Macaca mulatta: one gene and its partners. The protein of the gene in region 2 interacts with the protein of the main gene of each other region in a biochemical or structural test. Links are inferred from orthologs where the notes say so. Each region holds a gene or a part of one and is shown on either strand. Other genes may lie near its edges.

Region 1 (3,646 bases), on a different chromosome or scaffold from region 2:
ATAGTCCTCCTCGTCTACATTTACCAGCAGCTTGATGGCTTCATGGCCCACAGCTTGCTTGAGGGAGTCTGTGATGAAGACACCTTTAAGTGCCTCTAATAAAGAGCCATTGATGTAGTCGCGCCAGAATGCATCGAGGTAGGTGAGCTCAGAGAACTTGATGTCACAGATGATGGAGCCCAGGTCCCGGGACTTGAGGATGGTGTTAGCCTGGTTAAAGCGCTCAAACTGGCGCTCAAGTGGGTCCTGCTTGTTAGAGAAGACGTTGCCCTGCAGAGCAGTCTCATGCTGGCAGTACTCAGCCCGAACCCGCAGTCTGATGTCTGTTGGAAACAGAAGATAGAGAGCAGAAGAGGTTACAGTGAGGGATGAGTTTACAACCCAAGCTTGAAAACTGAAAAGCACAGCAGAATAAAAAAGTAGGGAATATCACCTGACAGCTTCTCTACCTCTTCCCCAGGACTATTTCTATGTATCTCTGAAACGCTTGCCTGAATGCAGGAGGTTCCCTTAAACTGGACATGCCCAGGTCAGCACTGTTCCCATTACCCACAGGTAGCAACTTGCTTATAGGAGATTGTTTCCTAATTACCAGGCACAGAAGTTCATTTTAATACTCTATCTTGACTTGGTTCATCCTACAATAAGGATGTCATAACAACATCCCTGTGATGTAGTATTAACTAAGAAGAGTTGAAATGCACCCTGCCACAGTCACAAAGAGCAGTTCTTCCACCAGACACCAAACCATTCAGCCTCACTTTGCAATGGCAATCAAAGTGAATCTCACACTGAATAGCATAAACTGCCTAGTGTCCCAGCAGTTCTTTATATTCTGCTTCAAGTCTGCTCCACCTCTGGAACCCTTGAACTTCCTCACCACATGTCTGCTTTTCCTTGGGATCTGGTGTCACTGACTTCCGGCGTTTTCGCTGGCTCCCAAGTGTGGCTCTCCCTCGGGCTGGCCGCTTGCTACACATCTGAGGACCCGAAGTGGGGCAGCACACCACAGGATAGTGGGGAGGCACTGACCAGAAAGTAAAAGGGAAGAAAACACAGTAGGGTAAAGGCAGAAATTCAAACACTTCTCTTGGAATGAGGAAGGAATCATTTAGACTTAGCACTAAAAGCAGTGGAAATAATGTGACTTGAAAAGACATAATGTGAGAGCAAATACAGGACCTAGGAGAAACGTCAACACCTCACCTGATTTTTTTTTTTTATGGGACAAGATGTGGGGCACAGCATCCTTTCATTTAAGCTGGCAAAGCCCAGAATGTGATGGGATCAGTGTCCTTTTACTTGATGATGGAAAGTAGGGGGAGTTAATGTCTTCTCACCTGTTTTAGGGGGCTGGGGAGGCCTTGGTTCTGGATCACTGAGGGCTCTGGGGGTCACATAGCGAATTGATGTCTCCTCCAGATATTTGTCTACAAGATCAGGGCACACTGTAGGAGGAGAAGTAATCATTCAGGAAAATATATACCCTTCCCTTCTGTCAGTCCAAACCCCCAATGGGCCTCACAACTTACTCTAAGTACTCCCCAGGGTCAATGTGTCTTCCCCTTTGGATGCCTATGCTGCTCCTTCCTGGCCTCCCACAACTCTTCCCTGATTCTAGCCCCTAATACATCCTCACCAGCCCGTCTTCTCTTGAGGGTGACATAGGGCAGCAGGTCGTGGCGAGTGATGATGCGCAGCAGCTGCAGCACCTGGCGAAAGTTACTTTCATCACAGCGGCCCTGGCGCTCCAGTGCCAATAAGAAGTCACGTCCATTTCGGATGAGTCCACGCTCGTGGTCATCAATGACATCAACAAAGAGGAAAGAAAGCACGCGCACATCTCTGTGTGTCAGATGAGTGCCCACGATGTCAAACATGCGGTGCAGGCTGTACAGCCCATGTTCCTGCTCACCATGCTCTTCTGGCCACACCTGGCTTGCCCGCCGCTTTAGGCCCGCCATGCTGGGGGCTCAGGTACGCAATGCTTTCCAGAATCCCTGCTCAGCAGCTGCAATCCACACTGTACTGAAAGGGCAGGGAAAGAACCGATGAGATACTCAAGGGCAGGAACTAGTCTTAGGCATTCCCATATTCCCAGTCGCTAATAATGCCTGGCACAGTATAGTGCTTTATACATGTTTATCACATTTTTTAAAGTGTTTGTTTACAAATAAACACTGGCTGGGCACAGGGGCTCACACCTGTAATCCCAGCATTTTGGGAGGCCAAGGCAGGAGGATCACTTGAGCCCAAATATTCAAGACCAGCCTGGGCAACATATGGAGACCCCTGTTTCTACAAAAAAGAAAAAATTAGCTGGGCTTGGTGGTACACGCCTGTAGTCCCAGCTGCACAGGAGGCTGAAGTGGGAGGAAGGCTTGAGGCCAGGAGTTCAAGATCAGCCTGGGCAACATATGGAGACCCCAGTTCCTACAAAAAAGAAAAAATTAGCTGGGCTTGGTGGTACACGCCTGTAGTCCCAGCTACTCAGGAGGCTGAGGCAGGAGGATCACTTGAGGCCGGGAGTTCAAGGCTGCAGTGAGCTATAATCCTGCACTGTAGCCTGGGTGACAGAGTGAGACCCCCATCTCGAAAAAAAAGAAAAGAACTAGTTTAAATTCTGACTCTTCTCACTGAAAAGCTGTGTAGCTATGTGACCGTAAGCAAGTCACTTAACTCCAAATTCTCAGTGCTGTCATCTGTAAACAGGGATGAATGAATCTATACCTCAGAGTTGTTAAGAATCCAATGAGAAAATACATGCAGAATCACTTGGTAACCCTTACATAAATGGTTGTGAAACAGATTTCAAAGATACAAGCATCCTTGGCCTTTGCAGCCCAGAATCATCCCTCCACATTTTTCCTACAGTCCAACCACATCCAGAAACGATAACTGCTCAGAAAGTTTATCAATATTTACCAAAACTCATGGATTTAAAATAACATTTATTACGTTTCTACAATAAGCATTCTTGTAATTCTGTGCCATTTGTACTCCCTTGATCGTCACACTATTTGGCAATGCCAACTTTTTTTTTTTTTTTTTGAGATGCAGTCTCACTGTGTCACCCAGGCTGGAGTGCAGTGGCACAATCTCGGCTCACTGCAACCTCTGCCTCCCGGGTTCAAGCGATTCTCGTGCCTCAGCCTCCCAAATAGCTGGGATTACAGGCAAGCGTCACCATGTCTTGCGAATTTTTGTATTTTTAGTAGACACGGGGTTTTACCATGATGGCCAGGCTGGTCTTGAACTCCTGACCTCAGGTCATCCGCCCGCCTTGGCCTCCCAAAGTGCTGGGATTACAGGCGTGAGCCACTGTACCTGGCCTTGGCAATACCAACTTCTAAGCTTCCCTCATGGATGTCATTTACTAATCCCCTATCAATGACCAATCACAGCCCCACATTCATTATATAGTTTGGCACTTGATTCACAAAGTTCCTCCATCATTATGGGCTATGGTTAATAACAATGACACAGTCATTAATCAATTCTCAAATTCAACAACTTTCACTCCACTCAAGTCACTCATACTTACTGCTCCACCAGACAGCACCATCCAATACTGTCCACTCTCTGGTCACAATCTCCAATCACACAATCAATTCTAAATTCCTGTTAATGCTACTTCTAGATATTT
Region 2 (3,646 bases):
GAAATGCCTCAGACTCACCGCTGTCTTTCCCAGCTCTGCCGGGTCTCAGGCTGGGCTGCATCTGCACAACCAGCCTCCTTCTCCCGGCCCCTGACTCCGCCTTGCTCCCGGTAATTAACATGCGCAGCACTTCAGTATAGAGGAATCACATCTGTAACACTCGTGCTGACAACTTTCTTCTTCTGGTCAAAAAGTGAGAATCCAGGTTGCTTTTACCAAAATACCCCCTCTCTTTGGTCTCAGAAATGCCCCCTGGCTAACCAAGTCTCAGGACTAAATCTCAGTAAGATACCAGGTCTTACCATGTCATCATCCAGTTTGCATTTGGAGATCTCCTCTTGCAGAAGAAACTTAAAAGACCTCAATTCTGATCTGCCCACCTCTTCTGAAATCTGATAGAGCATGACCCTGTGGTGGGAAATGGAGACACTTTAGAAACCTTTTCCCAAATAATTTCCCATTTGATATATGGAATCACAGTGGGCTTGATTCCAAAGGCCTCCCTTCAACGTGAAGCCAGTTAACGGCGTGGTTTATGAGTTGAGTCCTTGGAAAGAGGTTGTGACACAGAAGTCTGCTGGCTCTTCCCTGACTTTCCCACCCTTAACAATTTAAAGTTCTATCAACTTTTCTTTCAGTTTATTTCAGTTAAGTAAATCTTGCTTTTTTTTTTTTCTATAAAATCAAGATTTTGTTGCAATAGCAAAAAGCTTTGCCTTTTGGAAATTATGCTTTTCAAAATGCACAGCGGCTCATGACTTTCCTAATCAAAACCGGTCAGTATTCTCCCAGTCATTATCTTCAGTAAGAAGGCCAAGCATTTGGTTCTGGAATACAAAGTCTCTGAATACATCGCCATCACAGACCAGACTGCAAACACTAAAGGACCTGAAGCCCCAAACACACCCAGCTGCCCTGCCCTCACCCCTTTCCGCCGTGCCCCTACACCCCGTCCCTTGTCTATCTGCAGACGCCCATCCACGAACAATCAGCTCAAGCATTGCCTGGGCATCCACAAAGCTGCATTCACTCCACTACGACTTAGGAACCCCAAAAGGATAACACACATAATTGTCTGTTGGCCTGGTGCAGTGGTTCACGCCTCTAATTCCAGCGCATTAGGAGGCCAAGGCAGGAAGAGGATCACTTGAGCCCAGGGGTTTGAGACCAGCCTGGGCAACATAGCAAGACCCCCTCTCTACCAAAAATATTTAAAAATTAGCCGGGTGTGGTGGCATGCACCTGTGGTCCCAGCTACTCCAGAGGCTGAGGTGAGAGGATCATTTGAGCCCAGGAGGTTGAGGCTGCAGTGAGCTGTGATCATGCCATCACACTAAAAATAAAAACAAAAAATAATTGTCTGTTTAGAAACTGTTCAAGTCCCCTAATGGCCAGGTCTGTACCCTTTTTATTTTCATAAACCCAGAGGGTTATGAGGTGCAATGTTTGCATGCAGAGGACCCCGGCTATTGGTGTTGGAGCCTTAATTCCACCATCTTTGAGCAGCATTAACTTCAAACATGTTACACATTTTTTCCTCGCCCATAGACTGAAGATAATTATCCGTAACCACATCATAGGAGGGTGTCGAGGGTTACACAAATAAGTTTATGTGAAGCACTTAAACCAATCTTTGGCAACACACTAAGTGTTCAATGAGTGATAGGTATTACTATTTCCTAATCTATGCCTATCACATGTATGTGATAGGCACATTTAGGCTGGGACATTTAGGCTCTTGGAATATGCTTGCCAAATAGGTGAACACAGGAATGTTTTAGAAGTCAGCAAACCTTTCAACACTATGGTGTAAAGGAAAATAATTTTAATACAAAACATGTTGACTTGAAAATTTAATTAGAAAATTAAAATTCTCAAAATAAAAATGGCATAGAAACAGAAATTACTCAGTATTACCATCTACCTTATCCTCCTTCTCGTGGACTCTCTACCCTAAAAGTGTTTATCTAAAGCTTTCGGTTTGGCCAAAATTGGATCTAATCCAAAAAGCTATTCTGACTCTTTCGCCTTTATTACAAGGTATTTACCCTTTTGCTTTCCTCATTATTGAAGCCTACAGGCTTTCTTGTACCATCATTGTTTAGTAATGAACCTGAATAGTTTATAAGATACTTATTTTATAGGTAGCAATTATAACTGGAAAATAAAATGTCTAGTGTTTTCTTATAATGGTAAGTGGCCACCCTAGCATATTTATTAGCTCCTGGCTAGTATTCAATGATAATGAACAAGCAGTAAGTCAGGATTGTATTTCAGTAAGCCAATACATGAAAGATTTTAACAGACAGATCCTGCCTTATTAGTAGATGATCAATCCTCCACCAGAAAGGTACAGACTATGTCTGGCACTGGGTGTTTGCTTCAGCCCAGCTCATGCGGCAGAAGTGGAACCTTCAAAGGACCAAGATGTTGGGCACAGGATGAGACCCCCTTGGCTTTCCTAGTTCTGGGGCTGTGGGTTTTTAGGACTAACTGGTGCCTTAATGAATAAGTTCCTTATAAAGACTTCACAATTCTAGTAAACCAGAGCTATCTAGTGTACTGGTTGAATAGTGTTCTCCCTTCTTCCTCAAAATTCATGTCTAACTGGAATATGAGAATGTGACCTTATTTGGACACAGGACATTTGCAGATAAAATTTCATTAAGATGAGGTCACGCTGGCCAGGCGCAGTTGCTCACGCCTGTAATCCCAGAACTTGGGAGGCCAAGGTGGGCAGATCGCATAAGCCCAGGAGTTCAAGACTAGCCTGGGCAACATTTCGAAACCCCATCTCTACAAAAAATACAAAAATCAGCCAGACATGGTGGTGGGTGCCTGTAGTCTCAGCTACTTGGGAGGCTGAGGTGGGAAGATTGCTTGAACCCAGGAGGCAGAGGTTGCAGTGAGCCAAGATCGTGCCACTGCACTCCAGCTTGGGTGATGTAGTGAGACACTGTCTCTCACACACGTACAAAAAGATAAGGCCACATTGGATTAGGGTGGGCCCTAATTCCTAATCCAGTGACTGTCTCCTTATAAGAAGGAGATTTAGACACAGAGAAGGGAACATAGGCAGAGACTGCTGTGCTGCATGTACAAACAGGGAGCACCGAGGATTCCTGCACCCACCAGAAGCAGGGAAAGGTGTGAAACAGATTCTTCCTTGGAGCCTCTTAAAAGGAACCAACCCTGTTGACATCTTGATTTCTGACTTAGGCCTCCAGAACTATGAGAATAAATTTTAAAAACTGTTTTAAACGTGCTAGTTTGTGTTACTTTGCTACCGCAGCCCTAGGAAACTTACACACCCAGAATATCTCTTTTTTTTGTTTTTTTGCTTTGTTTTGTTTTTTTTGAGACAGAGTTTCACTCTTGTTGCCCAGGCTGGAGTGCAATGGCACGATCTCAGCTCACTGCAACCTCTGCCTCCTGGATTCAAGTGATTCTCCTGCCTCAGCCCCCCAAGTAGCTGGGATTACAGGCGTGAGCCACCACACCCAACTAATTTTTGTATTTTTAGTAGAGATAGGGTTTCACCATGTTGGCCAGGCTAGTCTTGAACTCCTGACCTCAGGTTATCCACCCGCCTCAGCCTCCCAAAGTGCTGGGATTACAGGCATGAGCCACCTTGCCTGGCCCAGAA
Region 3 (4,309 bases), on a different chromosome or scaffold from region 2:
CATCTGTGAAGACGACAAAAAGGACGGGAGCTGAAGAGAAAGCACACACACGGGCTCTAGGGCCCTGAGCAAAATGGAAATCCAGCTTTGCACTCTTCTCCAATGGCCGAATAGCCCACACAAAGTCAGCCTCAGTGGCTTGCAATTCTCTAATTTGATATCCATTCAAGAGTGTTGGAAAAAAGGCCAGGTGCAGTGGCTCACACCTGTAATCACAGCACTTTGGGAGACCAAGGTGGGTGGATCACTTGAGGTCAGGAGTGCAAGACCAACCTGGCCAACATGGCGAAAACCCCGTCTCTACAAATAAAGCATAAAAATTAGCCAGGCATGGTGGTGGGTGCCTGTAATCCCAGCTACTCAGGAGGCTGAAACAGGAGAATCACTTGAACCTGGGAAGCAGAAGTTGCAGTGAGCTGAGATCGCGCCACTGCACTCAAGTCTGGGCGACAGAGCGAGACCCTGTCTCAAAAAAAAAAAGGTGCTGGTCCACGTAGAGATCGAAATGTCTAGAAAACTAATCTTTTTTTTTATTTTGAGAGAGTCTCGCTCTGTCACCCAGGCTAGAGTGCAGTGGCATGATCTCGGCTCACTGCAAGCTCCGCCTCCCGGGTTCACGCCATTCTCCTGCCTCAGCCTCCCGAGTAGCTGGGACTACAGGCGCCCGCCACCACGCCCGGCTAATTTTTTGTATTTTTTATTAGAGACGGGGTTTCACCGTGTTAGCCACAATGGTCTCGATCTCCTGACCTCGTGATCCGCCTGCCTCAGCCTCCCAAAGTGCTGGGATTACAGGCGTGAGCCACCGCGCCTGGCCTGGAAAACTAATCTTAAACACGGGTAGTTGGCTGGGAACAGTGGCTCACGTCTGGAAACCCCATCTCTACAAAAAAAAAATATATATATATATATATATATATACACACACACACACACACATATAAAAAAAATTAGCTGCGCATGGTGGCAGGCGCCTGTAGTCCCAGCTACTCAGGAGGCTGAGGCAGGAGAATCACTTGAACCCAGTAGGTGGAGGTTGCTGTCAGCCGAGACCACACCACTGCACTCCAGCCTGGGTGACAGAGCAAGACTGTCTCAAAATTTAAAAAAAAAAAAAAAAAACAAACCACAGCAACAAAAAGAAAACACACTGATAGTCTCTGAAAAGGGAAACTTACTTTTCATTGTTCTCCCCTTTGTAATATTCAAAATGTCTGCCCCATACACATGTTATTTCTTTAAACTGTCTTTCCACATGATAAACCTTGGTTTGCCTATATCCCCCCCCACCCTGGGTTATGATGAGATGGACCCTAGACCTCACATCATTTCCCTCCACAAATGCTTTGGGATGCAGCTCTAAGAAGAGACTTCAGAAGTGTTTACATATTGTTCAAACCAACAAGAAGCCCTCATCATCAGGGCTAGAGATGAAAATGCCAATCACGGTAGGCAACAGTATTTATTTGAATCTGGACCCAGCAAGGTACCGATTTGGCATTTGGTAGATAAATGTCTTAAATCCCTCTTCTTATGGAAGCTCCCCCTTCCCTCCCCTCTTTCATTTGCTTTTCCAATTTGCTTTGTGTAGAAATCAGATTGTCTGTCCTCTAAAGCTTCCCAGATTAAAGCTCCCCGGGGTCCTCTATCTCTGCATGTCTTGTCAACTGTACGAAGGTTTGGTTTTCTGCAAGAATCCTCCTCAGGCAGCGCTGCATACTTTCTGTGGTATCACATCAGGGATAATTTTTCATGAAAAAACAGTTTTTAAAAATACCTGTGGAGATTTGGCCTTATTTGTAATATGTGAATTTAAATAGGGACGTGTTCAGGTATTATACATAATTAACAATTAACTTCCAATTCACTTTTAACAGGTTCTCTGTTCATTAAAAGGGAATATGGCTTCATCCTCCACAGGCTGAGTAATGTTCATGCAGCCACTGCGCAATGCCAGTGAGACTAGTTAGGACAAGAGTCACCAAATCAGCAACAACATGACCCAGTGGTGCAAGTCTTCCGAATCCCACGCTGCCATCCCAAGACCCCGGGGGCCAAGAGTAGGCGGGAGGGCATCATTTCCAGAACTGTAACATGGATCTTCCTGCCTCTCGCGGGCATTCTGAAGACCAGAAGGCAGGGGACACAGGAAAAGGAACTGAGCAAGTCATGACGAAGCAGAACCCTGGGGAGGGTTGGCAATAACAAACACAACCCCTGCCACCCCCACCCCTGACAGGTTCTACCTGTTCCATCGGGTTCCAATTCCAGGGTCCACCAGCTGCACACACCAGTCCCAGGGCTAGGGCACAGGGACCCTCCCGCCTAACTCGCCTGCTTGCTCCACAAGCCATACCTTTTAGGAGAAATGAAGGGAATGCAGAGAAGCAACACAACAAAGACCTCCGCATAGAGGAAGGTGGCAACTGCAGTCCACTGCAGACTCATCCTGCTGCTAGAAGGTTTCCCACAGGGAGATGTGAGCTTGTTTCCTGGCAGGGCACAGAAGGAACAGGATTTGTAAGCGCTGGGCAGCCAAGAACATCCAGTTCAGTTACCCTGCGAGGCTGGGGCCGCCACTCTCCACTCGACCCCCTGCACTTTGCTTCACAGTCTCTGACGCGCTGGCGGAAGCAGGGCTCCACTAGGCAAGGCCGCTTGGCCAGCAGCGTTCACAGGCCCCACAAACTTCCGTTCGCTGGTCAGTTACCCGCCCCCCTCCAGCACGTGTGTCAACACGTCCAGAGCGGCCTCTCCCGACGATCCCTGTCCCAGGGAGCCCGAGATTTCCGACGCCCATTTAACTGAAAGGCGTTCTTCGGGAAGAGCAGTGCCAGAGCGCCAAGAGGAGGACGCCTCGGCACCCATTGGACGCTCCCTTCCCCGCCAGGCAGAACTCAGCCGCAGAGGCGGGCGCTCTGTTGGCCCAAATCCCCGCTACCAGGCGGGCCCAAGGCCGCATCTAGTCCAAGCGCTGCCGACGCCCCCGCCTCCCACCGTCCCCACGGCGCCCGCGGAGAGAAACCGGCACCTCCCTCGAGGCTCAAGCGGCCTTCCGCCCGGGGCCGCTTCGCCTCCGGTGGGCTGGAGGCCCGCAAGAGCGACTCCTAGAGAGCAGAATTCGGGACCAAGCGCAAAAGCAGGTCTAGACCAAGCACCTCAAGGCCCCATACGGGGAAAGTTCTAGACGCAGTCTCCTCAAAGCCAGGGGTCCTTCCAGTAGCCCTCGAGGGCCATAGCGCCCACCCAGAGCGAGAGCCGACTGCGCGCACCGTGGGCCCCGCCGACATGACCCCGGCCTGGCACACCGTCCCCGAGGCCCAGCAAGGCCGCTCCTCCAGGTGGGGCTTCACCGCCCCCCACCCCGCCCCCGAGCCCAGCTTCTAGAGGCACCGCCCGTTTTCCCCTCTCCCCTGCCCCTCACACCCAGGTAGGCTGCGGGCCCCGAGATTCCCCGGCCCCCGGGCCTCCCCGCGCCGCTCGCCTCTCTCCCTCGTCAAGGGGCCAGGGAGCCTCGGCGGTCCCGGAGCTCAGCCTGGCGCGCGGAGCCCGCTCACCGAGTTTCCCACAGTCAGCGTGCAGGCCCCGCCGCAGCAGCCGAACTCTCCCACAGCAGCCCCGGCCCCGCCCCTCATCCCGCGGCCGGAAACCGGAAGCGCCCGCCGGGCACCGCCCACTAGCCCTCGCGAGGCCCCGGAGGCTCCGCCCACCGCCGCTTCCCGCCCCGCCCCCGAGCGGAGGGCCGACGCCCCGAGCGCGAGAGGAAGCGGCGCCTGGGGCTCCGGGCGCGCGGGGAGGGGTGGAGCGAGCACGCGGGCGGGGCGGGGCTTTGGCGGGCCTACGAGGGCCGCTTATCTAGTCCGCGAGGCCGTCCCACGTCTCTGTGGTGCGGAGAGGCCCTGCCGAGGGGCGAGAACGGGGTTGGTGGGGGAGGGGCCTCGCCGAGGGGCGAGAACAGGGTGGGGCTCCCGCGCCCGGACTCCGCCCTTCGCCCCTCCTCCGCCTCCTCCCCTTCCCCCGACTCGCCCCTGGGGAGGGGTGGGTGGGGATTCTGGGCCGGTGGCGGAGTCACTGTCGCTTCAGCCAGGCTGCGGAGCGGACGGACGCGCCTGGTGCCCCGGGGAGGGGCGCCACCAGGGGAGGAGGAGGAGGAGAAGAAGGTGGAGAGGAAGAGACGCCCCCTCTGCCCGAAATCCTTCCAGGCCCTGACCTCAGGAGCCAGGGCACTGACAGGACAGGAGAGCCAAGTTTCTCCACTTGGGCTGCCCGAAGAGGCCGCGACCCTGGAGGGCCCTGAGCCCACCGCACC

Evidence for each region.
Region 1: the proteins of CASP8 (region 2) and DEDD form a complex in vitro, tested with the Homo sapiens proteins (2 studies listed by BioGRID). The link is inferred for Macaca mulatta from reciprocal best matches to the Homo sapiens genes CASP8 and DEDD.
Region 3: of the proteins of CASP8 (region 2) and BCAP31, one has a biochemical effect on the other in vitro, tested with the Homo sapiens proteins (2 studies listed by BioGRID, with this or other methods). The link is inferred for Macaca mulatta from reciprocal best matches to the Homo sapiens genes CASP8 and BCAP31.

The regions. Positions count from the first base shown.
Region 1 is NC_133406.1:105,757,043-105,760,688, reverse strand, and holds part of DEDD (death effector domain-containing protein), read right to left. Parts: intron 2,609-3,646; exon of another isoform or gene 2,029-2,608; 5' UTR 1,965-2,028; coding exon 1,640-1,964; intron 1,449-1,639; coding exon 1,341-1,448; intron 1,028-1,340; coding exon 881-1,027; intron 324-880; coding exon 1-323. UniProt on the Homo sapiens protein: A scaffold protein that directs CASP3 to certain substrates and facilitates their ordered degradation during apoptosis. May also play a role in mediating CASP3 cleavage of KRT18. Regulates degradation of intermediate filaments during apoptosis.
Region 2 is NC_133417.1:106,382,722-106,386,367, reverse strand, and holds part of CASP8 (caspase-8), read right to left. Parts: intron 409-3,646; coding exon 303-408; intron 1-302. UniProt on the Homo sapiens protein: Thiol protease that plays a key role in programmed cell death by acting as a molecular switch for apoptosis, necroptosis and pyroptosis, and is required to prevent tissue damage during embryonic development and adulthood.
Region 3 is NC_133426.1:159,960,475-159,964,783, forward strand, and holds the start of BCAP31 (B-cell receptor-associated protein 31), read right to left. Parts: upstream 2,884-4,309; 5' UTR 2,869-2,883; coding exon 2,715-2,868; intron 2,496-2,714; coding exon 2,357-2,495; intron 4-2,356; coding exon 1-3. UniProt on the Homo sapiens protein: Functions as a chaperone protein. Is one of the most abundant endoplasmic reticulum (ER) proteins.